Regions from separate parts of the Mus musculus genome. Here all the other regions are reported to be linked to region 6. The links are microRNA targets in miRTarBase. Many come from high-throughput screens and were not tested one by one. Region 6 holds a microRNA gene; each other region holds the end of a gene's coding sequence.
What was found. The annotated mature microRNA mmu-miR-381-3p reads UAUACAAGGGCAAGCUCUCUGU and lies in region 6 at 2,763-2,784, shown strand. An mRNA with a match to its seed (bases 2 to 7 or 8) in the 3' UTR can be bound and repressed. Matches are read on the target gene's strand: a 7mer-m8 pairs with bases 2 to 8, a 7mer-A1 pairs with bases 2 to 7 and ends in A, and an 8mer does both.

Region 1: the mRNA of Scoc is a reported target of mmu-miR-381-3p. Seed matches in the 3' UTR shown: 7mer-A1 at 2,295-2,301.
Region 2: the mRNA of Pik3r1 is a reported target of mmu-miR-381-3p. Seed matches in the 3' UTR shown: 8mer at 688-695.
Region 3: the mRNA of Igsf3 is a reported target of mmu-miR-381-3p. Seed matches in the 3' UTR shown: 7mer-A1 at 4,103-4,109.
Region 4: miRTarBase lists Slc35a3 as a target of mmu-miR-381-3p. Seed matches in the 3' UTR shown: 7mer-A1 at 1,753-1,759.
Region 5: the mRNA of Crebrf is a reported target of mmu-miR-381-3p. Seed matches in the 3' UTR shown: 7mer-m8 at 959-965 and 7mer-A1 at 1,148-1,154.
Region 7: miRTarBase lists Zcchc10 as a target of mmu-miR-381-3p. Seed matches in the 3' UTR shown: 7mer-A1 at 3,333-3,339.

Annotation. Positions count from the first base shown.
Region 1 is chr8:83,432,883-83,437,190 of GRCm38, reverse strand. It overlaps Scoc (short coiled-coil protein), which reads left to right. Exons shown (of 4, transcript NM_019708.4): 4 at 1,151-2,699. The coding sequence ends at 1,293. Among named protein-coding and RNA genes, the nearest start is that of Scoc, 7.6 kb to the left of the region's middle.
Region 2 is chr13:101,681,024-101,685,176 of GRCm38, forward strand. It overlaps Pik3r1 (phosphoinositide-3-kinase regulatory subunit 1), which reads right to left. Exons shown (of 16, transcript NM_001077495.2): 16 at 1-4,046. The coding sequence ends at 3,857. Among named protein-coding and RNA genes, the nearest start is that of Pik3r1, 85 kb to the right of the region's middle.
Region 3 is chr3:101,458,925-101,463,232 of GRCm38, forward strand. Igsf3 (immunoglobulin superfamily, member 3) reads left to right here. Exons shown (of 11, transcript NM_207205.2): 11 at 863-4,136. The coding sequence ends at 1,113. Among named protein-coding and RNA genes, the nearest start is that of Gm40109, 47 kb to the right of the region's middle.
Region 4 is chr3:116,670,222-116,674,529 of GRCm38, forward strand. Slc35a3 (solute carrier family 35 (UDP-N-acetylglucosamine (UDP-GlcNAc) transporter), member 3) reads right to left here. Exons shown (of 8, transcript NM_144902.4): 8 at 1-3,497. The coding sequence ends at 3,407. Among named protein-coding and RNA genes, the nearest start is that of Gm51275, 4.8 kb to the left of the region's middle.
Region 5 is chr17:26,771,047-26,774,046 of GRCm38, forward strand. It overlaps Crebrf (CREB3 regulatory factor), which reads left to right. Exons shown (of 9, transcript NM_029870.2): 9 at 246-3,000. The coding sequence ends at 361. Among named protein-coding and RNA genes, the nearest start is that of Bnip1, 8.5 kb to the right of the region's middle.
Region 6 is chr12:109,724,108-109,728,415 of GRCm38, forward strand. Mir381 (microRNA 381) reads left to right here and starts at 2,715; the gene lies at 2,715-2,789. It overlaps Mir487b (microRNA 487b), which reads left to right and starts at 3,226; the gene lies at 3,226-3,307. Mir300 (microRNA 300) reads left to right here and starts at 206; the gene lies at 206-284. It overlaps Mir539 (microRNA 539), which reads left to right and starts at 4,022; the gene lies at 4,022-4,095.
Region 7 is chr11:53,331,754-53,336,061 of GRCm38, reverse strand. Zcchc10 (zinc finger, CCHC domain containing 10) reads right to left here. Exons shown (of 4, transcript NM_026479.4): 4 at 2,761-3,760. The coding sequence ends at 3,469. Among named protein-coding and RNA genes, the nearest start is that of Zcchc10, 9.2 kb to the right of the region's middle.

The DNA of each region.
Region 1 (4,308 bases), not on the chromosome of region 6:
TTCTGGCAATGTGTTACTAAGCTTGTTTCAAGAACTCTCTATTGAAATGAAAAGAAACACTACCTTTAGAGATTAAAATTGATCTTAGAGGTTTTTTTTTCTTCATTTTTTAACTTCCTTCCATAAAATTAATATTACCACTTACCTGGTTTTTGATGTTTAATGACATTAAGTATTGGGGTGGTTTTGTTTGTTTGTGGCACAAAGTGAGCAGTAGCCTTTCACTTGGCAGTAGCAGTCATACATCCCACTTCAGGTTATTTGGGAACACAGGGTGTTGCTGTTCTGAGTCTCTGTAATCACTTTAAATGCTGCTCTAAATCTCTTCCTTTAGTTACTATCTGTGTGGCCCGTTTCCTGAGTTCCTTCAGAACTCTGGTCAAATTACCTGCAGCAAAAGAGTTAACTCTAAAAAGTGCTTTCTAATCTGCTTTTATGACCCTTAGCCATTTTTGCTTTTTCTTTAGAAAAGTTGTGACTCTTGATACCTGGGCCCCATGTTACTGAGTCACAGGTGCCCACATACAACCATGTTTTTCTCTGTTGCTTCTAGAATGGTGTCTGCTTCTGTTGGTCAATATACATTTGTTAAATATGTGAATGGACATAATTTTTTATTTGTCCATTAGAATCTATATCTCTTGAATTTTTAACTAATATAAAACTATAAAAAGATCAGCTGCTTGGATCTTTTATCCAACTTAGGAATCCAGTTGTGTTAAGCTCTGCATCTTAAACATTTCCAGTAAAGACATGACCATTATGTGTGGGAGGACAGGCATACTTTAGAAATGCAATGTTTTCTTAACCACCTCAAGAGTTAAAAGAAATGCTCTCTACAGACTCCCGAGTCCCATGGCAAACACTGTTAACAATCACCGTCTTCTGATTTGTACTCAGTACAAGGTTTTTTTTTAACCTAAGCCTTTCCCCCAATAACCTGAATTAAAAAAAAAAAAAAAAACAGAAAACTTACAAATTGTGATATTTATTTGTTGTTAGTGCTACGAATCAGATTCAGGGTATCACACATGCTAGGCAAGGGCTGTAGCACTGAGTCACCCCACAGCCTGGTCTGCATTTGTAACATGGAGTCATTGCCATGATTTTTATTGGTAATTGTATTTTTATTTATTTATTTTGAATACAGATCTTTCTGCAAGAGTAGATGCAGTTAAGGAAGAAAATCTGAAGCTAAAGTCGGAAAATCAAGTTCTCGGACAATATATAGAAAACCTCATGTCTGCTTCTAGTGTTTTTCAAACAACTGATACAAAAAGCAAAAGGAAGTAAAGGGCTCACCTCCCTCTCTTCTATGGATTGCTGCTTTTTTTCTTCCCCCTTAAGGCTTGGATATGATCCAAAAGTTAGAGTATCTTTGTTCTTCCCTGAGTATTTATAAAGAGAATGTCACATCTAGGTAACACTAATGCTGAACAGGAGCATCTCTGAGTTAACGCTATATGTATACGTTAGTCTATGAAAATGTGCACATGTAGAGACTTTATATTAGAATTACAGATATTTATGAAACTTGAAGATGAATGTTTTGCCAATTTGCTTATATATATATAGGTTTAGCACTGTCTTTTATCATAAGCCTAACTAGTAAAATATACAAAAAAATAACCATGTTGTGAAAAGTGACCAAAACCATGTACTGAATGCACAGCTTCTGTACCTTGTGCACCGTCTTGTGCCTCTCCCATCTCCCTCCCTGACGGTAACTTCAGCAGTTTCTCCTACAAGAGTAACCTAAACTAGAATTGTTGACACTTAACCAAAATAAGACACTTTCTTATCTAAGGCTTGCCGTTTGTGATATTTAGTAATAAGATAGGATTGCTGGTTTCTCTTTAATCAATCGAAAGTAGATTGAAGCTATAGAAAATGAAGAGTTTTCTTTGAAATGTAAACTGCCACACTGAGAAGCTAAAAACTCCCTATTGCATAAAATAGTTCATTTGGTGTTGAAAAGATAGGAATGCTGGTCATATGTGTGTGAGAAATTAAAAAACAACAAACAAACAAAAAACTTGAGAAAAGATAGGAATAAGAAGGAAAACTGGATTAACAGAAATAACCAGCTCGCAGTGTTTTCCCTCTAAATGTGTATTACCTCTGGCCCACAGCTGCACTTTGGGGACATATATGAAAGTGGACTGAGTCTAATGTAAGTGGATTAAGAGAGACTAGTTAAGAGTTTGGTCTCAAAGTTTATTTGTACCCAGGAAATGAACTTTTGCAAAATTAATTGAGAGTATATTAATATCAGAATCATGAATATAAGAGTTTTGTATATGTGATAATTATTAACCTCGGTATTTTATCTCAGTTGTTTTCCCAGAATTTCTGTAAACTCAACTACTTAGTTTGCAGAATTTTAGTCATTCTTTTAACAAATTTTAAAAATTTAGTTTGTAGCTTCCATTTGATAAGGAGCTGATATCAGAAATAATAGTGAAGTCTTATAATAGGAAAGATCCACTAATGCAGCTGGTGGCTCTTAGGCTGGGCTGCTTTGACTTGTGGAATTATCTAATGTATTAATGTAAGCCTTGATGAGTGACGTTAGCTATATGGATGTGTAATCCTCACATTGCAGACATTTTGCAACCCTTTTGTGACCTTGTTACAGATATTTAAAATTGTGTTCAAGTTCTGCTTTGCTGTTTAATAAAAAGCTGTTTCAGAGGTTTTGTGTGTGTGTGTGTTTTGATACACTTGCTAAGTACATGTGCATTGGGTATCCAGGGTTTGCAGTATCACATTGTAATAGTGTATCTTATTTAAGCACCCAAGACTGCTACAGGGCAGTCTTTAGTAGCACAGTGTTGCAGAAGCTTACCCTTTATTGAAGTTCTAGGGAAGGGGGCTGGCTTAGGGTTAGGCTCCTTCCCCTCACTTGTTCCCAGGCTAGAGGGCTCTGCTGCATAGATTGTTCTGTCATGGCTTCTGCATCATCAGTTACACTATTCATTCTATTTACAGGAAAGAGTTTGTGAGTGCCCAGAATCTAGGTATGAAGAGTTCTGTCTTGAAATGGTCCAGGCCTCTTTACATCCAAAGCCTCGGATTGGCTGAGCAGTGTGATTTCTTCCATGTGGGAGGAAGTGAAGGACTTGTCCTAGCAGTCCTAGCCACAGCTTGATCTCTTGCTACAAAGTCTCTGGAACTATGTTTCCTCACAGAGAAAGCATTCCAGCACCCCACCTCCGTGCCCCAATCCAGCTAAGGATTGAGCTTAAAATCCAAGATCTCCCTTGAGGTCCCTCAGTTTATCTGTTCTCACTTTTTCCCTGGTCTAGAGTATTATGGGACAGGATAGCCAAGTAGAAAGCTCTCAGTGTGCGATGTGGAGTAGAGACACTTAGATCTGAGGCAGTGGTGGAATGGAACTTGGACACAAGTCCCTGGATATAGACCCTGACTCTGACCAAGGCTTTCCTTTCTCACTAGCTTTTGTGGCTTTCCCCTTCAAAGTTATTCCATACCCACCCCACCTCCACCCCTAAGGTTGAGAAAACCGTCCAGTTGTTGGCAAGAGCTTGGTGCCCCTTATTTTAAGTCAAGCTCAAGGGTTTTGTTTTGTTTTGTTTTGGCTAGTATAGCGTTCTCAAACAAAAAAACTGAAGCCTTTTACCTAGTTTACATCTCTTCCATCTGTTTGCTATATGCACTGAGGTTAGAGGACAGCCTACAAGAGTCTGTCCTATTTCCCACCATGTGAGTTCTGGGGACCAAGCTCATGTAGTTGGACTGTACCCTAGCTTGAGCCATCTTGCTTTGAAACCTTTTATCTTTGTACTCTCAGTCTGTGTGTCAGGGACAGTCAAACTTTCTTCTAGCCCTGACTCAAGCTTTTTTTCTCTAGGACTTGACTCTGTAACAGAGGCAACTACCTTAGGGCCCACTGAAATGCAGGTGGGAGAGCTGGCCCTGGGGTCTGCAGAGCTGGAGAGCTAGCCCTGCCCCTCACCAGTTGCAACACTTTGGTAGAGTGGGCTCTGCGCCTCACCTGGGCAGCATAATAAAGCTGTTCCTGCTGGAGTGGTTGTGGGTGAGCTGACCCCCAGGGGCATGAGAGCAGAAGAGCTGGCTCTGCCCCTTGCTGATTGGCATTGGGTAAGCCAGGGCAATGCTGGAGAACTTGCCTGGTAGTTTGGGTGCTGGAGAGCTGGAGGTCTGACCAGCTCAGCTACAACCCAGGCCCAAATCTAGAGCTTTAAGTTGGCCCACCCCAACATCCACATCATCTCTGGGCTTCTGGAGCTCTTTAAAGGACTGGTCCTGCAGACCCAAAGCTGT
Region 2 (4,153 bases), not on the chromosome of region 6:
AAAATACACACATATAAATGAGGGCTTTTTTGTTTGTTTTGATTTTTTTTTCTTCTTAAATAGCAGCATCCTGGGCAGCCAATGCTATCTCATGGCGACAAGCTCGGTATGAAGCAGGAGAGTCTTTCCAATGGAGCCAATTCTACCCTCTCCCTACCCCCAGTACTAGTTATTTTATATAATTATAGATTGTTGTAAGAAAGAGAAGAATTTGGCATTTTGGAATGTTGTCCCATGGGAGGCATTGTGCTTCTTAACTGCCCCTTTCTTAAATGACCCTAAATTCGAACAGACAACAAAACCCACTTTCCAACTGACTTGGATACCATGCATTGCGAAAGCACAGTTGAGAAAACCTGCAAGAACTTTCTCCCAATAAAGAACATCAGTAGGACTTCCCAAACAAGTTATAGTTCATAATCAGATATACGACAAAGCGATTGGTTCCCCACAATGACAGCTCACAGAAACACACTCTGACTTGACAACACTGAGAACAGGGATCCATCAGGTAAGCAAATCATCCAGGCTGCTCCCTGAAAGGGAAGAGCTTCTAAAAAGAGGAAAGTATCAAATGACGGACTTCTCACTTCACTTGTGGACAAATTGTACTTTATAAGACAAAACAAAGCAATAGCAAAGAAATACAGGAACACACACACACATACACACACACACACACACACATATACAAGACCTGTACTGGACATCTGCTTGTTATGTACTTGAACTTGACTGTGGATCTGCGTGGCTGAAAGGTGTATTGGAAACAGTCCATGCACATTATACATATATACATATATCCAGGGCTGTGAAGTTGTCAAATGTTGCAAAATATGCTTGCTGCCTTATCCCATGGCTATGATCACTCTGGTGTGGAACACAAGGTCCCAACCCTCCCACTTCTATAGTCTAGCTTAGTGTCTGGCTGTCTCTAGAATGGGACAGTTGGTGAGAAAACCTGAGTGGGCATGCTCACATCCCAGCTATGCTGTATCTATCTGCATTCATGAGCCACTCGGTGTTACTAGAAGATGGCTTGGATGGAATCCACAGAACCTTAATGGTCAAACCTCTCCAAGGACAGAGTTGGTGAGCATGCTAACCTGTCACCAAAAGGGCATTCAGTAGGACAGGTGTGCTATAACTCAATGACTCCTGCCTTCTGACACATGAAAGCTCTATTGTACTCACGTCAGTGAGATGAGAAATTCAGGCAACTGCCTAAGTTGCAAGTTATCTTGCAGAGAGTGTTGAAGGAAAAAAACAAAACAAAACAAAACAAAACAAAACAAAACAAAAAAAAACCACTTAACAGAACTTGTCACGAAGCAATCTCAGATCCTTTTTAAAAATTAAAGTTATTTGTATCTGATAGCATACATGATGTGCTACAAAAAGAAAAAGGAAAGAGAGAAAGGAAGAAGAGAGCAGAAGCCAACCACAAACCTAGCTTACAAATAAGTATTAACTCTTCAGTTGTATGTGGTGTGGCGGAATGCTACCGCTGGAGGTTGCAAAGCCCAGAGTCAACCCGGGGAATCAATTTCCTGGCAGTCAGGAGGTGGTCGGGTCAAGTTTGTGGGCTGACAGTCTGGTTGACTGACTTTTGCTCTTGAAAATGAGCAGTGGCTTCATAGGAAGAAAAACACATTCTACAGACCATTAACCCAGACACTGGACTGCAAATTCCAAGATCAAAACAAGAGCAACATTACAAGACCCCTTCCCCCCCCCAAATAAGGGAAGAGCTATAAAGCTGCAGGTGTGTCTGATATTGAGAAAGAGAAACTGATGATGGCTCATGAATCTACCTGGGCTGCGACAGGGACTACCATCAACCTCTACCCATCACAGCACATGGCAATTCCCCATGAACTCACCAGCTTTGACACATATACACTAGGGTGGGAAACTCGAACTTTTGTCCTGAATTAAAGATGTCACCAACTGCTCCCTTTGCACACCGTGATGTATGCAACATGCACAATCACGCTAATGAGAAGACCTGTCCGAACTGTTAAATGTTTGCACTTAACAATCTCCACAAAGCACAGTGACCACCCACTTGGGTCTACTTGCCTTCCATTCTAAACTGAACTCTGAACAGAGAGCTGGAAAAATATCAAGCATCCAACTAGATGCTGTTTTTTCAGACCATGATTTAGCCAAAATGAATGGTGACTGGCTGACTGCTGTGACTAGTCCAATGCTACAAAGAGAAAAGAACACATTTTCTAAATGCAGGGATTCAACCTTGAGACCAGTGTGTTACAACAACGAAAGAGGGCACATTCCAGGAACCCCAGAACAAACTCAGCACTTCATGACAACGGAGATGCTGGCCAACTGTGCTGGGATGGAGTTACAACATTAGGTCTGGAGTTGCTGTTAATTGCTAATGACTACCAAACTCAGATGGGGAAAGACAGGAGACAAACAGCCTGGCTCCTCCCTTCTCTGGGATCCCTAGAAAGTGCACACCACCTTACTTCCCCCCCTCCCCTTACCCCGCCTGTTACAACCCATGACTGCCTCCCCCTCCCTCCAGATTCAAGAAGTTCACAATTCATTAGGAAACAAACATTGCCAGGTACCGTATTTCAAGAGTCTTAACACTGTTGGACTCAGCAATACTTTGTCATATCATATATCATTTTCTTTTTCTCTTTTTATTGAATAAAGCAGCTTTGAAGCTTATCAGGGCCCTGCCCAACATTTAGTCCAAAAAAAAAAAAATCTGTTATGAACTTTTTAACCTTGGGCTAACAGCCAAGTATTCTGTACAAGAAAAACTGTAAAATATTTCATAGTTTTAATTCTTAAGCCATTCTCCTTTCTGGCATCCTGTACACTTCTTTAAAAAAAAAAAGTAAAAATGACAAAAACAAATATTAACAAAAATCAGGGACAATATTTTCAAGCAACAAAAACTGGGGTAAGGGAAGCTTATTCCAAAGGTGTATTTGAAACGGGTAACAACATAATAAAAATTAAGAATTGCATAGCGCTGCACGTTTATAGCCTTCAGCAAAACAAAACAGAAGCTATTTGGTATTGATACAAATCCATCTATTTGATAGTTAGTCACCCAATATTATGTACATATTTTATATACTGAATGTCACTGTAAGTCTCCTTCTCCACACTCTTTTTTCTGTTGGTGGGTTGTTGGTTGCTGACTTGATAAGTTTAAACAAAAACGTTTTCTGGTGTTTCATTTTTCCTCCGAACAGACTGCATCAATGTTCTCTCAAAGTGTCCTGCGTGAGCAGACGCGGCTCTCTGATACATATCATTCGCTCTTTTAAAAAGGAAATAATCCACAGTGTGATGTGTCTGGGTTCACCACACCCAGCGACACCCAGGCTACACCAGGCTGGACCAAGCGGCCCCAGGCGCAGGCTCTTCGGCCCTGTCTACCTTCTGGTCTCCAAAGTCCCAACTTGTAGCTGGTAAAGCTTCAGAAAGCGTTAACAAGCACCATGGTTAAAGGCCTCTTTGTCCCTGCACGGAGAGATTTTTGCATTTCTTTCTCTCTGTGTGTTGGTTGTGTGTTGTGGCTTTAAATTAGAAAGAAAGAAAGAAAGAAAGAAAGAAAGAAAGAAAGAAAGAAAGAAAGAAAGAAAGAAAGAAAGAAAGAAAGAGGATAAGGTTAGAAACGTCTGGTCATCCAACAGTCCGAGGCTGCGTGTCTTCCCCGACTTCTTTTTGTCCAAGAAAGCTCTAGTCCCATGTGCAGACAGCCGGCTTCATTTCTGCAGCTCAGTTCACAGGTCGGGCTGGAGAGGAGCCCTTTGCTTCTCAGAGGCCTTGGGTGGCTTGAAGGTGAGGAACTGGATCCGAGGGCAGCGCTTCATCGCCTCTGTTGTGCATATACTGGGTATGCTAGTGTGACATTGAGGGAGTCATTGTGCTGCACGAGGGAGGTGTGTTGATAATGTAGCACCAGCTCCTTCAGGGAGCTGTACAGGTTGTAGGGCTCGGCAAAGCCATAGCCGGTGGCAGTCTTGTTAATGACGCAATGCTTGACTTCGCCGTCTACCCTGGAAAGGGGAAGGGAACAAAAAAGTCTTTTTCAGTGGTTCTCAGATGATCTGGAATGCTGCAGGGTATTTTTAAACAAAGCCGACCTCGTGGAGGGGCACAGTGG
Region 3 (4,308 bases), not on the chromosome of region 6:
GGGTTGAAAATGGTTGGCCATCAGTAATTTGATATACATTAGAAAACCATAAGAGTAAACTGTGTGCTGCCTTTCTGCCATTGTGATGGTGTACCCCAGTACAATGGGAAGAAGGATGGCGAAAACCTGAATGGAATGTGCATTCAGTGTCGGAAATGAGAAGGAGAGTGTTGAGGCCACACTTGACCTGTGGACCCATGCTGAGATGCTTAGGGTAACTAAGCTTCACCAACACAGGGATCACTAGAGGCCAAGGCTAACATGAGCAAGCAGTGCTGAGCTGCTGTCAGGGCTCCAGGTTTGATTCTCTTCTATACCCAGCTGTAAGTCCACCCTTCGGAGCCATAGACACTAGACACTGTCAGTGGTCCACAACAGAGTGGGAGTTGATAATGTTCAGCAAGTGCCTTTTCTAGGACAGCCAATCCCTGAAGCAGGCAGGAAAGGAGTGTGCTAGATTCCCTGAGATGGAAGTCTAAGTAGAAGTAGGCATAGAAGGACATGTCAGCTACCCTCTTACCGTGTAGGAGGGTAAGAAGGAATGGGAGTGAGCTTCTTCACCACCATAGACACCTCCACGTTCACAATCAATAAGCTCAACTTCAGTGTATGGCTTTCCCAGCAGACTAAGTTATGGGTCTCAGTGGGAATGGGGGCACTGCATCATCTGAACTTAGGAGTCAGATGATTGGTTGGGGTGCCATGAGAAAAAGAGCAAGGCAGAAGTCTCCCAGTCACAGGTGGCAGGGGAGGACTAGGAGGGTGTCTGGGGTAGTTTCATCAGGTCAGGAGAGCTCTCAGGAGCAGGGAGCAGGCGCACAGAGTCCAGGCTTCATCCTCATGGTTCCTTGCTGCCTTCCAGGTTCAACCCTGCAGTCGCTCATCTGCTCCAACGATGCCCTCTTCTACTTTGTCTTCTTCTACCCTTTCCCCATCTTTGGCATCCTCATCATCACCATTCTGCTGGTGCGCTTCAAAAGCCGGAACTCCAGCAAGAACTCAGAGGGGAAGAACGGGGTGCCCCTGTTGTGGATCAAGGAGCCTCACCTGAACTACTCCCCGACTTGCCTGGAGCCTCCGGTGCTCAGCATCCACCCGGGAGCCATTGACTAAAGAGGCTGCCCACTCCCAGCAGACGTTGCCCATGGCAGGGTCGGGTCAGGGGAGCCCTCTGGGCTTTTCCTCATTGCTTCGTGCTCTGTGATTGGACAGGCGACAGCACCTGAACTCTGCAGTTTCTCTGCAGGAGCCAGTCAGACCTGGAACTTGTTGGAAGCTTCCGGTCGAGGTGATGGTTGCCTCTGGGCGGCAGCCCTGGTTAGCTGATCACACCCAGGTGTCATGATGCCAACATCCTAGGTTCCTAGTTTTTGGTTTTGGTAACTTAGTGCGTAGCTCCAGGTGCCGCATCTACTCGCCAATCTAACTCATGTTCTCAGATCGGTGCTATGGGGTTTCCTGTGCTGTGTAATGTACTCTTTTAAGCCCCTTGGGTCCTCTCCTTTTGGATCCCATAATGTTGTGGAAGAGTTTCTCTCACAACTGATAAGCAAGAGGAAGACGCCTTCATAGTAACAAGGATTCTCTTCCAAGACATTTTTGTTTTTGCACATTTGAAAATGCCACCCGTGGATCAAAATATACCCAAACATTTTTTCTTTTTTTTTCTTTTTTTTTTTTTTTTTTTTTTTACTTTCTTAGCAAGACTTGAAAAATATGTGTAGCGTGGGCCCAATTTGTATCTTATCTCTTCCTTCAGCCGGAGTTGTTGGAACCACTTTATAGTCAAGATGAAAGCATTGAATTTCGCTTCAAAGGACTGACTGCACATGTGCAGAAGAAACCCTGCAGGACCCTATTAGGAGCAGATGGTGGCCAGCCAACCAGTCCGTCAGGGAGGCAAAAAGGCTCAGTCCCATCATTGCCAAAAAAGAAAAAAAAAAAAATAATAATAAACGAGCCAACCTGAAGGAAGGGTCAAGGGCTCCAGGCGGCACCCAGTTTCTGAGGGTTGCCCTGATCAAAGGCAATGACTGGGGATGAGGGGGGGACGGGTGGTTGTTGGCTTGGCTTTGGCAAGCTTGGTCTCTTGACTTACCCCTGGGCAGGTAGCTTTCTTCTGTAGGTGCTTTGCCAAATTTTCAAGGGGACATGTCTAGTGAAGCCTGAAGGGGCTGCCCTGAGTGGAGGGAGCATTATGGCCAAAGTGGCCCCTGTGCACAGGCCCAGTGGAGTGTGCTGAGCTGCTACACTGAGCTTAGCAGAGTGGAGCGTGGGAGGGCGTCTTAGAGCCTGGTTGAGAGGTTGGAGGAGTGCTTCCCTCTGTCTTCCTTCCAGTGAGCCTTTCCTCGGAGACGGTGAGGGCATCCTTATCCATCGCAGCTCTTCCCGAATCTCAGTGCCATGGAGATATTGTCCTCGGATAGGACCAGGCACAGCCCTTTGCCATTCTTGTTGTCCCCCTGCTTTCAGCAGACAACTCAGAACAGGAGCTGTCACTTTCCTTTGTTAGAGTGTGTGTGTGTGTGTGTGTGCGTGCGCGCGTGTATGTTTATGTTGTTTGGTTGTACTGGTGGCTTTTAATTTTCAGCCCCCAAATCTGAACTCCACTGCCTCCACTCTGTTAAGCCAGATGCTTAGCTGCCCTGGAGCCTCATCAATTGTAAATCCTCCCTTTTGTCACTCTGAGGGTCTCGTGACCCCTCTCTTCCCCATCCTTCAGTGGCCACATCTTCTCTGGGGAATTTGCATCCTGAGTCCCAAGAGAGAGCCCCTTGGCAAAAGGTACCCAGGATTGTGGAAGTAAATTTAAGGAGTGATTTCTGCAAAGCCTTGTCCTGAGAATAAACAGACAACACAAAGGCTGCAGGACTTCCAGGTCATTGGGCCAGGCTGTTATGGATCCTTCCGAGGAGTCTGCTAGGTGTGGGCCGTGTGCTGAGCAGAGAGGGCAGGAGGCAAGATGCAGCCTGACAATCCTTCCTGGCCCTCTTGTTCTCTGAGAAGTGTCCAGGCAGCGCCACCTTAATCCTCCTGTGCCTGCCCTGCTGATTCTCATTTTTGCTGCACGAACACATCAGAGGGACCAAATTGGCTCAGTCACGAAGAAAGAATGTCTTTTGTTCTGTTCCTTCGATTCATGGGTGTGGGCTCTTGGTGGGTAGTTGCTGACTCCTGAGTTTTAGGCTGAGTCAATGAGGGAAGATTGACGCCAGAGGGCTGGCCTGGATTAAGATTTCAGATCAGCTCTGTAGCAGCAGAAGACTCAAGTAAATATGCAAAGCAACCGCAGGACGTTTGCAAGGAGCAAAGAAATCTATGTCAGTATTTTAACAACCGTTTTTTGCGTGTATTTTCTGCAGGGCTGGGGTATGCAATCAAAGTTTAAACTCTGAGCTTTCTATGAAAACAAAACAAAACAAAACAAAAACAAAAAAACAGAAAAGAAAAAGAAAAATCCAAAACCCTCAGGACCTCTCTGTGGCTGGGTCTATGGACATGTGTTGTCGGATAAATGGTGATGGCGCCCTCAAGTGGCTAGAAGGCTTCACTGCATATTGTCTGTTGAGGCTTTTGTCCTCCGAGATCAGAGTACTCAAGAGAGACTCCTGACATCTGTCCTCTCCAGTGTCACATTTATGAGCATCTCCACTGTGCTAGGCCTGTCCCAGGACACTATATGACCACACCCTCTCTCATCGGTGTGTTTCTGTAGCAAGTCTTCATATTTGTTTCCAACAATGGTGTCTCTGCGTTCATGTTGAAGACAGAGATGGGGTAAGAAGACTATCCGTGCATGAAGTAGAGAACTGTTGGTTTGTTTCTTTTTTTTTTTTTAAAGGAGAAGCTATTTGTAAGCCACTGCACAAAGACGTTTTATATACACTGCAGAGACCTGTAGTAAATTATGTTGACAATACGCTGTTTACATTTTCTGGAGTCTGATGGCCTCCTACCCCTCACTGAAGCAGCCACCTCCTGCTGTGGGACTGTGCTCAGTGGGTGGCCTGGAGTTTTGCTCTTGGCACTGATGTACCAGATTCAAGTTTTACACGCTGTAGCTTTTCTATGCATGCCCTCACCCAACCTAAATTATGTTTTTTTGTATAAATGATAAAAAAAAACTTTCTCAAGACACTTTTGCCACATGCTGAAATGTATCACAACTCTACACCTACCAGTTAAGAGTGCAGCCCTGGAGCTGTGACACAGGTGCCCCCCGGGCCTGCTAGGCAGACTGGGAAGCTGGCTTTGCTATGGGTTATGTGACTAGTTTTCCTTTGGTGGGAAATTTGGGGTAAGAAGACA
Region 4 (4,308 bases), not on the chromosome of region 6:
AAAAAATCCCACTTTCAAGTATGTGTCTACAGTTGTAAATTACAGTATATTCTCCATAAAAGTCAGGTATTTATTTGGTAAGGCAAGGCACATAGGACCAGACTGTGATAAAGGTGCATTTTCATTGGCCCTATTCGATTACTTTAATTATCCTGGAGATCCTTGAGATGACTTTCAGTATAACATAATTACTTTTTATAAATCCCGGGTAAAAATATATAGTAATAAAATATTCTACAATGAATGTTTAAATAGAATGAGTGACACTAAAGCCTTTCTTTAAAAACTAAGTAAAACAAAACAAAACTCAAATGGGGGTGGTGGCCTACACCTTTAATCCCAGCACTCTGAAGGCAGAGGCAGGCGGATCTCCGTGATTTCCAGGCCAGCCTGGTCTACACAGTAAACCCCAGGCAGCCAGGGTGGCACAGTTAAGATGCTGCCTCAAAAAGACAAGGAAACAAAAACACTTCATTGAATGACAGTATAATGACATTTTTAAAGTCTAGTAACCGGATTTGTAAGAACAGTATTCTATTTTATGGTTCAGAGCAGGATGTCGACTAATTTCTTTTTGGAATTTCTTAATATAGACTGTGGTTTAAATATCAAGCTGCCTTTTTCTCATATGAACTTCTGTGTCATTCCATAGAAACTGATGTAAACATGTCAGTTCTGAACCTCCAACCTCTATGCTCTACTGCACAGGTAACTTACAACCTGAAAAGCGTCCAGTAAGGAGCTGCTGTTGCTGCACTAAGGGCCTGCCCGGGACATGAAGCTTTCTCCCAGTGTGCTGTACCTAACCTTACTACAGCTCTCAGCTGGCAGGCTTCTTCTCCATGAACTCACACGTGCCTTTAGTGAAAGTAGCTGAGAAATAACAAGTACACCTTTAAAAGCATAACTTTTAAATAATCGAAGAGTTATGGAAGCATGACACAATAACACCTTTGAATGTCATCAAAACACAAACCACATTACACAAAATTTCAGCATCAATATATATGACACAATCTAGGTTACAAGCCCATTTCCCCCACATATTATTATTTCCTTATAAATTTTTAGACTATACATTCAGCCCAATTACTTTTTAACTGACTAGAAAGGAAAAATATAAATGATGCATAAAAGATTTTCAGACACCTAAAATGTATTATAACTTGAACAACCTTACTATCCAACTGCTTCTTTGTCTATATTTCTGTAGGGTTAAGACAGGGTAGACCATATCTAAATAACCAATCATTTTGAATCCACACTGTATTAACACACTTGCCCACACAATGCTTTAATATGAGCAGACCATGAATCTGTCCTCTTGAACTTTGTGCATTTGCAGGATCTGGGTTGTACTTGGTTATAGGTCCTAGGACATATGCTTGAATGCTGTGGTGGCCTCACACCATGCTCAAAATAGTCAAGCTCTAAAAGGCAGTCACTGAAAACCATAAACCAGGCATTCAGAAAGCCTGCTATCACTTTATCCTCATCGGTGCAATGATGTTAAATATTCTATCATTTTAAGTACTTTGAAACTCTGAATGGAATTGGTTAGTCATGTCCACTGTTGAAAGTACATTTGCTCTGATAAGATCAAATAGCCAATCCAAGGTTGCCAAGGGAACCTTACAGTTCTTAACAACAGTGCTTTTGAGTCAAATTCCATTTAACAAAATCTATTAGAACTACATAAAAAATAATTACCTTTTTACAGGTTTGTATCTATTTGAACAAAGTTTTAAAATATATACAATATAAATGAAAGAATAAAATAGATCTTCAATAGGTAATTCTGCATATGGACAATAATTAAATAACTTATATTCCAAATATAGAACGTATTTTTGCCTCCCGGTTTACTTTACTATTTCTAATATATTCTCTCTCCTTTGAATTTATTATTAAATAACTCATAATTTGTATCCTCAACTCCAGTGTTAAAAAGAAAGAAAATCTACTATTCTAAAGCAAATGGTTGCTCCTTCCCAGAAGGACTCACAGGAACACCAGAGAGGAAACCCTGAAGGCAGTCACATCTGCCAGACACATGATCAGGTGGGGAGAGTGGGCTTTAAGACATAAAAACTTCTAAATAGCCTTAGAACTTAAAATATAATGCAACTCCCTTAAAACAATGTAGTGAGGTGGGCAGAGTGGCCCACACCTTTAATCCCATCACTCACCAGGCAGAGGCTGCCAGATAGATATTTGTGAGTTCAAGGCCAGTTGGGTCTACATAATGAAAATCTGCCTTAAGAAAAACAAAAAAACAAGTTACAATATGCTTTAAGAAAAAGAAAAAAGAAAGTAGCATATGGCAGTAGGGAATGTCTGTAAGGAAATCAGTTTAATCATGGTCCACTGAGAGAACTAACACTCTTTTGATTGTTGTTTCTGTCAAAGATTAAAAGAAATTGCTACTGCAGATTAACAAGAAAATTCTCCATTTCAAAACTACATTCAATATATGCTTCATAGTTTAGATTTCTCAAAATGGAGCCTAGACAGTAATCATTATTTTATTTTCAATTATTAAATGAGTACTTAATCCCTTTAAATTCACTTAAAATTTTTAATGGCAGGACACACAAATTCAATTTAATGTAATGATGAGAATAATGAGAAAAGAGACAGACCTGGGAAATGATGAGTAAGCTCCACTAGGGCCAGTCTCTGCCACTCTAGCACGGGAAGAACCAAACTGCATTCAGCTGCCTCAAAGCAGTAAATGGTCAGACACACATACACACACACACAGACAGAGAGAGACAGAGAGAGACAGAGAGAGAGATTGATTCTACACTAAATTTAAATATGATTCAAACCCAGATCACTTAATCAAATCGTATGGAATTAAACAAGTAAAACTTGTCAATCCTTTCCTTAGGAATCCTCTGTATAGATATAAAACCCTGGATACATGAAAATGGTTTTAAATTATATTTGTTTGTTCACAGCTTGATAGGCAATTATAAATTTCCATTTAAATAGATCATGTAGCTTGATACATCTGTACAGAAAGGGTAAGGTTAAGAACATGGGATAAGTGTAGGCAGATCTACCTTGCAAACCTTGCTCTTTCTTTGCATGTGTGTGCTCTTGCAAAGGCTGCACTGGACAGTGCTACAGCAACTAAAAGGCTGAAGTCACTAGGAGCTCAGACGTAAGGCCTCCTCCCAGTATCCCCTCTAAGCCTACTTCCTGGACACTCTTCCAAGCTTGGGTTGCAGATGACGGACACACTTCATCCTGAAGGCTACACGTTTTCAAACCATTTGAACAGAACGATCAGATTTAGCCTGATGATTTCTTCATAGAATCTGCAGAAGTCCTCTGTGCAAGATTAATGTTGAGGTTCCTAGGGCACCACTGTGAGAATCCAGTTAAGGACAGGACATGACTATGCTTTAGTGGGATTTCCTGCAGGTTTGGGATCGTAACCGTACAAGAAAGTAGCTGCTATTACAAGGATGGCTCCAAGGAAAAAGACACTAAATAGGATGAAGAAAAAGAAAAGGAGAAAGTCAGATTCAAAGCAAATTAAATTCTTTACTATACTGTATCTGTACTATAAAGACAAGTGTAATTTGGGAAAGAAATATTCCAGAAACATAGTAATAAATGTTGAGTACTTCCTATGATCCAGGTGCTGAGCTAAATACTTCACATGTAAATGTCATTTTGTTCTTGAATGACTTGAAGCAGTACAAGGATTAGCTGCATTTTGTACCTTCAGGAAAGGCTTTACAGGACTTTAAAAACTTGCCCCACAGGCCCAAATAGGTCGGAGGTAAGATGCAGTGTAGACTCTGGCTTTGAGCCTACACTCCATGGTGCAGGACCTCACCGACATGCACACTCTGTATGGGATTCATTCCATAAAAGGTCCAAAATGTTAAAAACAAAATGTTAAAGGAAAAGTTCATTACTGTATGCTAAACTTAGGTAATTTAGTTTAAAAGCCAAAGCAATAATAAAACTCAGTACCAATGTTTACAGGATGGTTAAGAGAAGGAGATATCACATGCTTTCCTCTTGATTCTATGTATGTAGATATACAATATACTTCATAGAAACTGGACACAAACCTAACTACCAATTATAACTTGCTATATACAGTTTTAATGCAGCTAGAATCATAGATTAGTTTCTACTAATGCTTCAAAGTCATTACCTTCAACTTAAAAACAAACAAACAAACAAATCTAAAAAGACAGGGATCACTGGTCTTTACCTTCCTGTGACCTGAGGCTTTTGCTTTGCTTTATTTATTCCACAGTTTTACTATGTAGCCCAAGCTGG
Region 5 (3,000 bases), not on the chromosome of region 6:
ACAGCCTGCCAGTGGACCTCAGGTTTCTTTAGGAATTGTTATTTGTCATCTACCACGTTAGAGTGCCTCATGACTCTTGGGTGGGTCTCCTTGTGAATGAAGTCTGCCATAGGATGGTTTTCTGGGCTGCAGTAGCAAGTAGTGGAGCCCTTGTTTTGGGGTCAATATCAGCTTTCAGACTTTTTCCCTTTCCTTTATGCCTTCTCCATGTTTGTGTCTTAAAGTGTGCCTTTTATTCTCTTCAGGTCTCCCAGTCGCTGGGCAAACCTCAGAATTTGTTAACCAAGTGTTAGGGAAGACTGCTGAAGGCAACCCCACTGGAGGCCTTGTAGGACTAAGGATACCAGCATCAAAAGTGTAATCAGCCTCATTGGACCACTGGTCAGAAATGTCTGTTTTTGTCATGTTATCCATTGTAAATTTTCATTCTGTTTTGCATGTCAATTAGCATTATGTAAACATTTATAATTAGGTTACATTGTTTTAAAAACAATAGCATAAGTGAAGCATGATCCAAAATACTTGATTATTGCATTTTCAGAGCATAAACCAGTGACCCTGCTGCTGGCATGAGAAAGAAGCTCACACATTAAGTAAATATGAGGTACAGATTGTAAACATTTGTTGAAGCAGAGTGTTTTGGGTGAGTGAATATATTAGTATAATGCTGAGTGTTAAGGTGGGTTTATGCTCTGAACCACACAAAAATACCGAGGAAGCATTTTTTTTCAAAGTCCATTTAGATTGTTTTTAGAATGACTGCTTTTTGTTCTAATTTTTTACAGCCATTAATCTCACATGTACATGGCGCACCCAGCACTCACGTGTGTACCATGTTTAGATGTTTTTCAGAACTCAATATGATATATAAAAATACATATATATATATATATATATATACATACATATATATATATAGAATTGTCTGTGCAAGTAAGAAAAAGCATACTCTTTGTGCCTTGTATTTTGGGGAAACTCTAAAACTGGTAATATTTTGTATGATGAAAATCCTAATGAGGAAAACCAAGATATATAGATGAGAAAATTATGGGGTTTAAATGTCTTTTTGTTCCAACTCTTTTTCAGATTTTTTTGAATGTATATAGGACTATGTCAAAATGTAGATATATGCCACAGAGTCTGTGTATTGTATAAAAAAAAAAACAAAAAACAAAAACAAACAAAAAAAGATGGCTCTAGAGAACTCCTATTTCGGTACTTGACCGGAAGAAAATACTTGCACATTATTGCGATTGTTTTATTTTTTCTACCAAAGACAAATGCAACTGGTATGGCAGACTGCCAGTCTAAGTAAAGTTTTGCACAGCTTACATGATACTGTATGAATGTATGAAACAGAGAAAAAATTAAAAGGTCAGGGTTAGGGATCTTACTCAACTGTGAACTTTATTTCTGTTTGGGTCCAATTATCTACAGAAGGAGCATCCATACATCCAAATATTATTTTGCTGTCCTCTAGTTTGCTTCCATAGTAGATAAGTTGGTGGCCACTTAGGTGTCTTTTATTTCTGCAGTTATTGTAGGAAATTTTAATATATTTCATATTAGTAAGCTATTGATAAAATAGTTTTTGACTTTGAAAATTAAAGTTTATTTAGCTTATTGTAGTATACTTCCACCAAACAACCAAAATACAGATTATTTTTATCGTATTATGTATATATATATGTAAAGAGATAAAAAAGCTAAAAATATCTAATACTTTAGTTGCCACTTTTCCAATTGATGTTATTGTGCATGTAATATTTTCAAAGATCAACACAAGCTTAAAACAAATTTATAAATTTTTATATTTTTGTACAGGTATTTTCTTCAAACTTACATGTGACTTATCTTGTGTAGTTTCTAGACTTGAGAAACATGACCACGCTTAGTTTTAGGTGCTCTTCTTTGCTTTAGTGGTCAGTTGTAGCTGTGCTCAAGCTTTGCCTCTTGATGAGAGATTCCTATGCCCCACAGGTCCTTCCATCCCGTCTTTCTTGACTGTTTTATCTCAGATCTTGTGTTTGGAACTATGAAAACTGGTGGCTTCAAAAGTAAAAACAAACATATCTAGAAGAAAAGCCTGAGATGTCAGACATAGTTGCTGTTTCTCCACCACCTTTTGATAGAACTAAGATAGCTGTCCTTGGTCTGTCTGCACAGGAGTTTCTTTCCTTTTTCTTTCTCCCCTTTTGTAAGCTATAGCACATGAAGTTTCAATTAGAAAACACAGTTACAATCCAAAAATGTGTCTGACTTGCCTCTTTGACATCATGAATCATAAGAAACCAAGACTTGTCTTGACACGTTAGCTGAAACTGTGACAAGGTTCCTGTGTGTTTGGTGGAAATGTACCTTTAGTTCATCCACCCTAACAGATAATAAGCTCACGTGTCATGGTTAACAGAATTAAAGTTTTACTTTCTATGTGGGAAAAGGCAAACCATAGGTTCACAAATGGAAGTGTCTGAAGTCTCGAAAGTGTTCCAGAACCTGGCGGTTTTCAGTCAAATGACTGTCACTTCATGATCGCGAGTCAGTTGGCGAAGTTTATAAAATTGCCCCTTTCTAGCTACCCTGTTTTAGGAATTCTGGTTTTTTGATACCTTTTTCTTGTCTGCAAACCAGAATTTGATTTTTGGTCTTGCATTTCAAAACACTTTGAATCTGTTTAGTAGATTCCATACCCGTGCATTTCAGTGTTTTATATGTACTCCTTAAGTTAAATAGTTGAAAGCCTTTAAATAGTTGAGCTTTTTAATGTTGACTCTTTATTTTGTACCTATTTATATATGTATGTATATCTTAGGAAAGCACTTTGTTATAAAATTGCATTTTATATGATTCCTGCCATTTGCTGCTAAACTTGGGCTGGTCAGAACGCTGCAGCGATACTTGATCTAAATAAAAACCTGGCAGTAAAATGTAGAGTGCAAGTTAAATCCTCTTGCTGTTTAAGATGACATAGGCAAGCTGTGCAGCTTTACATTTTAACCA
Region 6 (4,308 bases):
CGATATGTCTTGGAGAGCTCCTGGGTGGGCCATCATTTTGGGTAAGGGCGCCTTGGGTAACCCTTTGGGGGGTGTGCGGAGAAGGGGGGGCATGTGAATCATCTGGAAGTGTAACCTCCAAATGTGCCCCCTCAGGCTCACATCCGGACCGTCATCGCATCTGTCATCGCACCGGACCAGCTCTCCCCAGCGCTCCTTATCGTTTGCTACTTGAAGAGAGGTTATCCTTTGTGTGTTTGCTTTACGCGAAATGAATATGCAAGGGCAAGCTCTCTTCGAGGAGCAAATGCTGCCTGGAAGCATGGCTGGCGGCGGCCTGGGCCTAGCAGAAGGGTGTGGTCTCTCCAGGGTAAGTAAATGCATGGTGGGCCACCGAGCTTGAGCTCCTTCTTCGTCTGACCCTACAGATCTCACACATGCTTCTGAGAACTTTCTAGAAAAAAATGCTGATCCTAAGGGCTGTTCTTGGTAGAGCCTAGGAAACTGTGCCTCCCCTTCTGACAGCCCTTCGCAGTGTGGTGTGCATGCCAGGTCGTCTTCTAAGGCCAAAAGAGTGTCAGCAGCAAGCCAGTGCCCATTTAGATGTGGGTTTTCTGCCCACCATTGCCAACCTGTCCTTACAATCACCTTTAAGGCTTCCCATCCACTTAAGGGAAAGGGGGTTGGTGGATATCCAAAGTAAAGATGCTCCCAGAGGCTACCAAGACCATTAAGCCTCCTTCTCCAGGTGTCCTCTTCACCTTGTGTGTCACAGCATGAATTTATGTTAAGGTTGTCTAAAGAACCTTGGTTCTGGGGGTCGGGTGGAGGTGGGGCATCTCACCTCCCTCCGGTGAGCCTTGCATGGGTCTGATGTTTATAGTGATAAGTCTCCCATAGTCCTCTGAACTCCCCAAGAAGGGCAGAAGGAAGGTCCAGAGGTCTCCATACTGCTCCAGTTTGGGGAAGAGGGTGGGGGCTTTCAGAGAGCTAGTTTTCCGGTTTTTCTTCTTTCTTGAATGATGCATGTTGCTGTGCGTACTAATCCTGCTCTTTCGATGACCATCTGGAGGACTTCCTGGAGGCTGCAGCTGTGGGCACAGGTGGAGGCTTTCTTGCCAGGGTGGCTTTGCAGGCTCTGGAATGCCAATCATTCTCTGTCACTTTTTTGTTAAGTTACACAGAATCCCCACCCCCACCCCACCCCATGCCCATCCTCCCATGCCCCACCCTAGTCTTTTGGAAGATCACCCTGTTTTGGAGTGATACTGAGAAGTAAACTAACTTTAGGGCTGGGTACCAGTGTGCAGAGTATGCAGCCAATTCCAGAGCCAGCCAGCTGAGGCTTGCTTCACCAGCCCCTGTGCTCAGCCCAGGCTCACAGGTGCTTCACTGTTCCCTGGCCCAACTCTTGGTTCATGTAAAGAGGATAGCCTCCGGTATGTTCTCTTTATTGATGGTAATAGACTGCAAGAGGCACTTGTCCTCACATCTAACTCTATCTGGGAACTACTCCAGCCCTGTTCCATCTTTGGGTCAGGTCTCCTGATACAACGTGACTTCTGACTTTCTCGGGTATGTACCAATTCTTGGTTCTAAGATGGGACCTTTGGCTAAGCTATTAGTCTCTGGTCCTCCTTGTCCTCTTGGTGCCTGATCTTTTGCTCTTGAGGGTGGGAGAGGGTACTGTGGTGCCTGTTGCACTTGCATTGAACATAATCACCCAACAGTGGCTTGCTTGTTAAAAGACAGTGGCCCTCAGACCTGCCGTCTGTTTGTACCAAGCCATCTCCAGAGCCTTGTTGCTCACAGCATTCACCTTAGAAGATAAAGCATGATGTTAGACTATCCCAGCTTTGATACAAGTACTGGTTTATACATCTTTATTTATAATGATTTCAGGCCTGGTCCACCCCTCTCCAAGTGAGGACTTCCTGGAAGTGGTGTCTGTCTTTGGGAAGAGGCTGAAGTTTCCCATTCCGTGCGGTCTATCTGGTGTTCTTCTGTGGCTATACCTAGATCAGAAGGGGGCAGTTTTAACAGCCCGCACCTATGGAAGCAACCCATCCCGTCAAAAAAAGGTGAGTGTTTTTCCTTGCCATGATTCAGTGCAAACCTGTGGCCATTCCTGCCTGCTCTTTTCTGGGGAAGAGGTCCCAAAAAGGAAAGATGGTTCCATCATTCAGTGGCATGTGGAGTTTGACCCCTGTATGGCATCAACTTCCTTCTAGTTCTGTCCCATTCCACTATCGGGCAGAATTAGTGGGGCAGGGTCCGGTCCTGGGAGTGACACTGATACCCGTTACTGGGAAGGCAGAAAGGATTGGCTTTAATCACTTCTATAAATTCCTGGGGTCCTCCTGTCCTCTGTGTGCAGTGTACAGCCAGGTGGGCATCATAGAGAAAGTGCTAAGGATAAGATTGTAGTCCTAACCAGGGTTTACCTACAGAAAGCAAAAATCTGAGTTCTGTATTTCCTGAGAGAGTGAAAATCTCAATCTGTTGTAACATCTGCCAGTAATATCAGAAAAAGGTCCCCCCCACCCCCCAAGTATCTGTCCCAGCCCAAGCTCCTTGGATGGAGAGCTGACCAGTGGGCACACATCTGGCAGGTGGTGTTTGCCATGTAATTGGCTGATTCCGAATCTCCCATCATCCCTCCCCAGGCTAAGTCCCAGGAGACGAGGCTGACCCCGTGAATGCTAGAGCGGAACCTGCCCCATGCTATTGTTTGGTACTTAAAGCGAGGTTGCCCTTTGTATATTCGGTTTATTGACATGGAATATACAAGGGCAAGCTCTCTGTGAGTATCAAACCTTATCTTGGATCCCGTCCACACTCAGCGAGGGATGTGGTATGTGTGTGCATGACCGTGTGTATCCATCTTGTGTGTGACAAACTGCTTCCTGGGTTTCCTTTATGCACCAACGGCTTCATGGGCGCAAGATGACTTCAGGAAAGACCTCGGGTACATCCCCTCTCCTTGTCCATATGGGTTGGTCCCAAAGCATGCTCTCTGTGTGTAGCCTGGGTCCCTGCTTTCCCAGGCTGATGGTCAGGTCTGTGCTGGTGTGGGCCGTTGTTTTTTGATGTGCTGCCGTGCCGTGGTACCCAAGTGTGCATGTTCTTGCTTGGTGTGTGTGACCCAGTCTGCTAACGCTCAGCGTCTAATTCGTCCCCAGGACCCTACCTGGAAGACGTAGCACGTCTACCTGAGGCGGTGGCTTTGCTTTCCAGGCCGAGCTTTGGTACTTGGAGAGTGGTTATCCCTGTCCTCTTCGCTTCACTCATGCCGAATCGTACAGGGTCATCCACTTTTTCAGTATCAAGTGCGCAGACTCTGCAGCCTGGCTTCCTGCGCCTGGATCCTGCCACTGCCACTTCCCATCACACATCCTTGGACAAGGGTGTCGCCGTGTTATGCTCCTTGTCTCGTGTGTCACTCGCGAGTCCTCTTGGGGTCCAATGCATATGGCTCTCGGGGGCTGGGAGAGATCAGGCTCTTGTAGGGACTAGGCTCATTATTGACCATGTGCCAGCCCAAACTTTTGTCTGCTGGGAGCTGACTGCTGGCAGCTATGATGGTGATATACAAACCTCTCCTTGGATTTGGGAGCCCATGTTGAGACAGACATTCTCTGTCAGTCATGTGAGTGGGTGTTGGAGCTTAGAGTTTGTGCTGGACTTACAAGGTGGTGCTTGTGACTCGGCAGTGACATCATTTCTGTAGCAGCTTCTAGAACAGAAGACCCCATGCCGGGGGTCAGCAGGGCCACCCACAATGCTTGCTCCACTTAAGATGGACACTGCCTGGCTTCTTGACCCCAGCCACCATTACCCTTAGAAGAGGCTAACGTGAGGTTGTCATGCTGAGTCCTGGGGAGTCATTTCTATAGCCTCTCACCTCCCTGGTGCTTAGAATGGCCATCAGTAGTACTGCATGCATGGTGCATGTATGTATTGGGTGCAGCCACGTGTGAGGAGTGGTGATCACTCCCAAGAGGCCTATGGATGCTGGTATTCCTGCTGTGCTACTGTTTCATACTTGAGGAGAAATTATCCTTGGTGTGTTGGCTCTTTTGGATGAATCATACAAGGATAATTTCTTTTTGAGTATCAAATACTGCCCTGGTGGACTTCCGGGATGACGAGACGGTTGTTTAAAGAGGTGCCTGGTGCATGATGCATGGGTTAGCCTTACCTGGGCACAAGGCAAGAGAGCACAGAACTGATGTGTAAGAGCTACACTCTGATCCCAAGTCAGGATCTTGCTTGAAGAGTCCAGGGGTTCCTACGTGGCTTGGTCATGGTGAGATAGCACAGTTTTCA
Region 7 (4,308 bases), not on the chromosome of region 6:
AACACTAGGTAGGAGAGAAAGAAGGTCAGAGGGGAAAGGGGCGTAGATCTCTGTGGGCTGCTACTTCCTGATGATTAGGGCTGTCTGGTTCCTATGGGCCAGTTTTATCTCTGTTGTCAGGAGGCTAGTAAACCAGCAATGGAAAACACAAGGAACCAGCAGCAGGGGAGTCGGGGTGGGGATGGGAGCAGCAGTGGGGGTGGGGAGGGGATGGGAGCAGCAGTGGGGGTGGGGAGGGGATGGGAGCAGCAGTGGGGGGTGGGGAGGGAGCAAAAGAGGGGCAGCAGTGGGGACAGGGGAAGCAGGGCAGGAACCAGCAGTTGGAGCAGCACCCAGGGGAAAAGCGGCTGCCACAGGCCCACTCAGGTCTTCTCCAGAGTCCCCAGACTATCTGCAGCTGGTAAGTCACCCCCCACCCTCAGCCCCCAGAGTAGGAGACAATCATAGTTAATGGCTGTGGACAAACTGAAAGCATCCTTTTAGGATATTTAAACAAAAACATTCATAACTGAGATTTAAAAGAAACCAAAACTCTCACTATTTTGTCATATTCTGTATACATCTAATTTGATGATATATTGTGAATTCTTGGTCTTCTTGCCTCCATCTCCAGAGTGCTGGAATATCCCAGCCTTGTAGCAGAAGGGTGAGATGGTGCACATCTGTAATCTAGCACTCAGGAGGCAGAGGTAGAAGGATCTCTAGGAGATGGAGGTCAGCCTGGTCTATAGAGAGATCCTGTCTCAAAAAAACAAAACAAAAACAAGCATACACCACCAAGCCTGGTATATTACTGCTAAGAATCGAACCCAAACCTTCCTGCATGTTAGGCAATCACTACGCCCACTGAGCTACATCTTCTGTCCCCAAATCAAGATTGTTGAATAAAGGATACCTCTTTTCTAAAAAGCTTAAGGCCACAGAATAATGGGGTTAAACTTGACATTACTGTACATTATAGTTTACTTTTAAAAATATTGTACAGTATTTCCCGATCCTTGCTAGAGCGTCATCTTCTCCCTGGTTATTTATATTTATAAAGTCATATAGGATCAGTTACCCATATAAAGTGTCATACAGGAACTATTAAGAGGCAAGCCTGGGGATGTGGCTTAGTGGTAAAAGGCTTGCTAGCATTCAACAGGCCTCAGGTTCTAATCCTAACACTGGAAAAAAAATATATAAGACTTGATGTTTATGGATGCATATTTGTAATGTACATCTTCACGTGTGTGTGGGCCTGGTGTCAATGTCACATTCTGACAATTGCTCTGCTCTCCACCTCGTTTAGGGCAGTGTCTCAGAGTCTGGAGCTCACTGACTGACTAGGTTGGCTGGCCAATAATGAGCACCAGGGATTGGTCTACCTCAGTCCCTCCTGGTGCTAGACAAGGTGACCATACCTTGCTCTTCTGGTGCTGGGGACCAAACTCAGATCTTCAGCCTTGTGCAGCAAGCATTTTACTTGACTGAGCCATTGCTCTTGCCCTTAAAAAGCTATCTTTTAGCTGGGCATGGTGGCGCACGCCTGTAATCCCAGCACTTGGGAGGCAGAGGCAGTCGGATTTCTGAGTTTGAGGCCAGCCTGGTCTACAAAGTGAGTTCCAGGACAGCTAGAGAAACCCTGTCTCAAAAAAAAAAAAAAAAAAAAAACCACCAAAAATAATAAATAAATAAATAAATAAATAGCTATCTTTTAAGTATAATGTAACCAGTGGCTGGAGACACCTCATTTGCAGAGGATTGGAGTTCAGTTCCAAGCATCCACATTCATGGCTCACAACTTCCTGTAACTCCAGCTGTAGTTCCCACATCCTTGTTTGACCTCCATGGGCAAGGAGAGACACACACACACACCACACACACACACACCACACGAGTGCATGCATACATAAAAATAAGAATGCCAAGAGCTGTGGCAGGTGGAAGGTAAAGGTAGTAAGAAGAGTTCAAGGTCATCCCCAGCTACATAGGGGATTTGATGCCAGCCCAGGTTATGAAACACGAAACCCTGCATCAAGAACTTCCCAAGAGCCTCCCTGAGATGTGTGGTTCTTCAGCCAAGACTCCAAAGAAACTCATGGATGTTAAACTGGGAGGCATCCCAACCTCAAAGGTATGCAGTGGGGCACTGAAATTATGCCCAACAAGAGGATAGAGCACAGCTCGGTGGACTTGGCGCTGGCACCCATGTGTTCCCCAGCTTCTGTGTTCCCCAGGTTAGCAGAAGCTCTCACATTAGTGACGTGCGGGTCCCAGTAGGGCCAGGATAGAGGACTCTGCACTCTTGAATAACCAAATGCTCAGTTCTGTTCATGAAGAATTCAACCAAGGCTAAATCTTCATATCCTGACTGAGAACTGATGTCTAAAAAAAAGTAACTGGTAACTGGAAAAATACACATAAGAGAAGAACAAGAAACCAGGAGGAAAGGAAGGATAAAGCCCCAGAGCGTGGGGCTGGAGAGAAGCCTCGGCAGTTATGAGCACTTGCCGCTCTTGCCTAAGACCCAGGTTGCTTCCCAGCACCCACGTGGCAGTTTCTACCTACCTACCTACAGCTCCAGTTACTACAGGGGGGCCTATGCCCTCTCTGGTCTCTACATGCTATCACAGAAATGTGGCACATGAACTCACGTAGGCACGTGTACACACACACACACACACACACACACACACACACACACACACACACAAATAAATCTTAAAGAATAAAGAAAAAAAACAACAACAAAGAAAAAACTTGAAACTTACATCATTCCAATGTTCTGTATGGGGTTCTTTGATTTTATAGATTCAGAATAGAAAAATCAGAATTTTCTGATACAAACATAAAAATAGAGCACATTTATTAACAGTAGGAAAACCATTTATAATAACAATGCATTAAATCTCACATAATAAACACAGGCAAAAGAGAACAAGAAACTTCTTGATATTCTGATACAGTACAGTCAAAGACTGTCCCATACACACTGTAACATATACCCACATAAAGCATTCATTTCAAAGGCAGGAAAAAAATGACTTTTGCCTGTCAATGAAATAGATTTCCTGGTTTTCAATTTTGATTATGTACTACAGATAGACTTCAAATATTTAAAAAAAAAAGTTAAAAACAAAAGCTGAGCATGGTGGCACATATCTTTAGTCCCAACATTAGAAGATCTCTCTGAAATCAAGGCCAGTCTCCTCTACATATCAAATTCAAGGCCAGCTAGACCTACAAAATGAGACCCAGTCTTTACAAAAAGAAAAGCAACAGCAAAAACCCATATTCATTCCTAAAATAAACATCTTTATATATGTAACATCTTTTTTTTTTAAATATTCTATACAATAGTAAATACTTGGAAAGTTCTGGATTTTATTTAACACTTCTGGCCGTCTGGCTTGCTTGCTTGAGCAGGTTTTCAGTTCCCCTGGGAGTCACAGGTGCTTTGGGTCCACCGTCCCGGTGTACAGAGCTCTATTTCTTCTTCTTTTTCTTCTTCTGTGGCTCATCATCAGAGCTGCTCTCAGAACTGCTGCTGCTGCTGCTGCTGGACGAGCTGGAGTCCGAGTCCGAGGAGGAGGAGGAGGAAGAGGAGGAAGAGGAAGACGAACAGGCCGAGGAAGAGGAGGAGGAGGAGGAGCTAGAGAGGCTTTCATCTGAGTCACTGTCTTCTGAAGAGGATGAGGCGGATGTCTCACTCTCTGATGAAGACTCACTGGCCGAACTGTCACTGCTAGAGGTACTGGAACTCGTGACACTCTTAGACCTATGAAGTCACACAAAGTGCACACATGGGAAACTGACATTTTAATTCGGAGCTCAGAGATGCTCAGGCTGAGCCTCTACAGCCAGCCAGCCCTAGGTCTGATGTTTGGGGATTGCCTAACTCTGAAACCCTTTACAAGCTCTGTCATTTCAGCAACTCTCATAAGCTCATAAGGTGTACCTCCCATACTACGTCATACTGAGCATGCTGGCACAAGCCCGGGATCCTAGGAGATAGAGGCATGATCCTAGGAGATAGAGGCATGAAGGTCAGAAGGTCAAGATCACCCTCAGCAACACAGAAAGGTCAAGGCTAGTCTGTCTGTCTGTCTGTCTGTCACACACACACACACACACACACACACACACACACACACACACACTCTGTGGCTGTAACCCTAGCACTTAAGAAGCTGAAGTATGAGGATCACCGTGAGTTTGAGACCTGCCTGGGCTACAAAGTGAGATCTAGTCTCCAGAAAATAAAACAAGAGCTAAAGAAAGGGAAGGCTCAGCATTTAGGGGCCTTACTGTTCTGTCTGTCAGAGG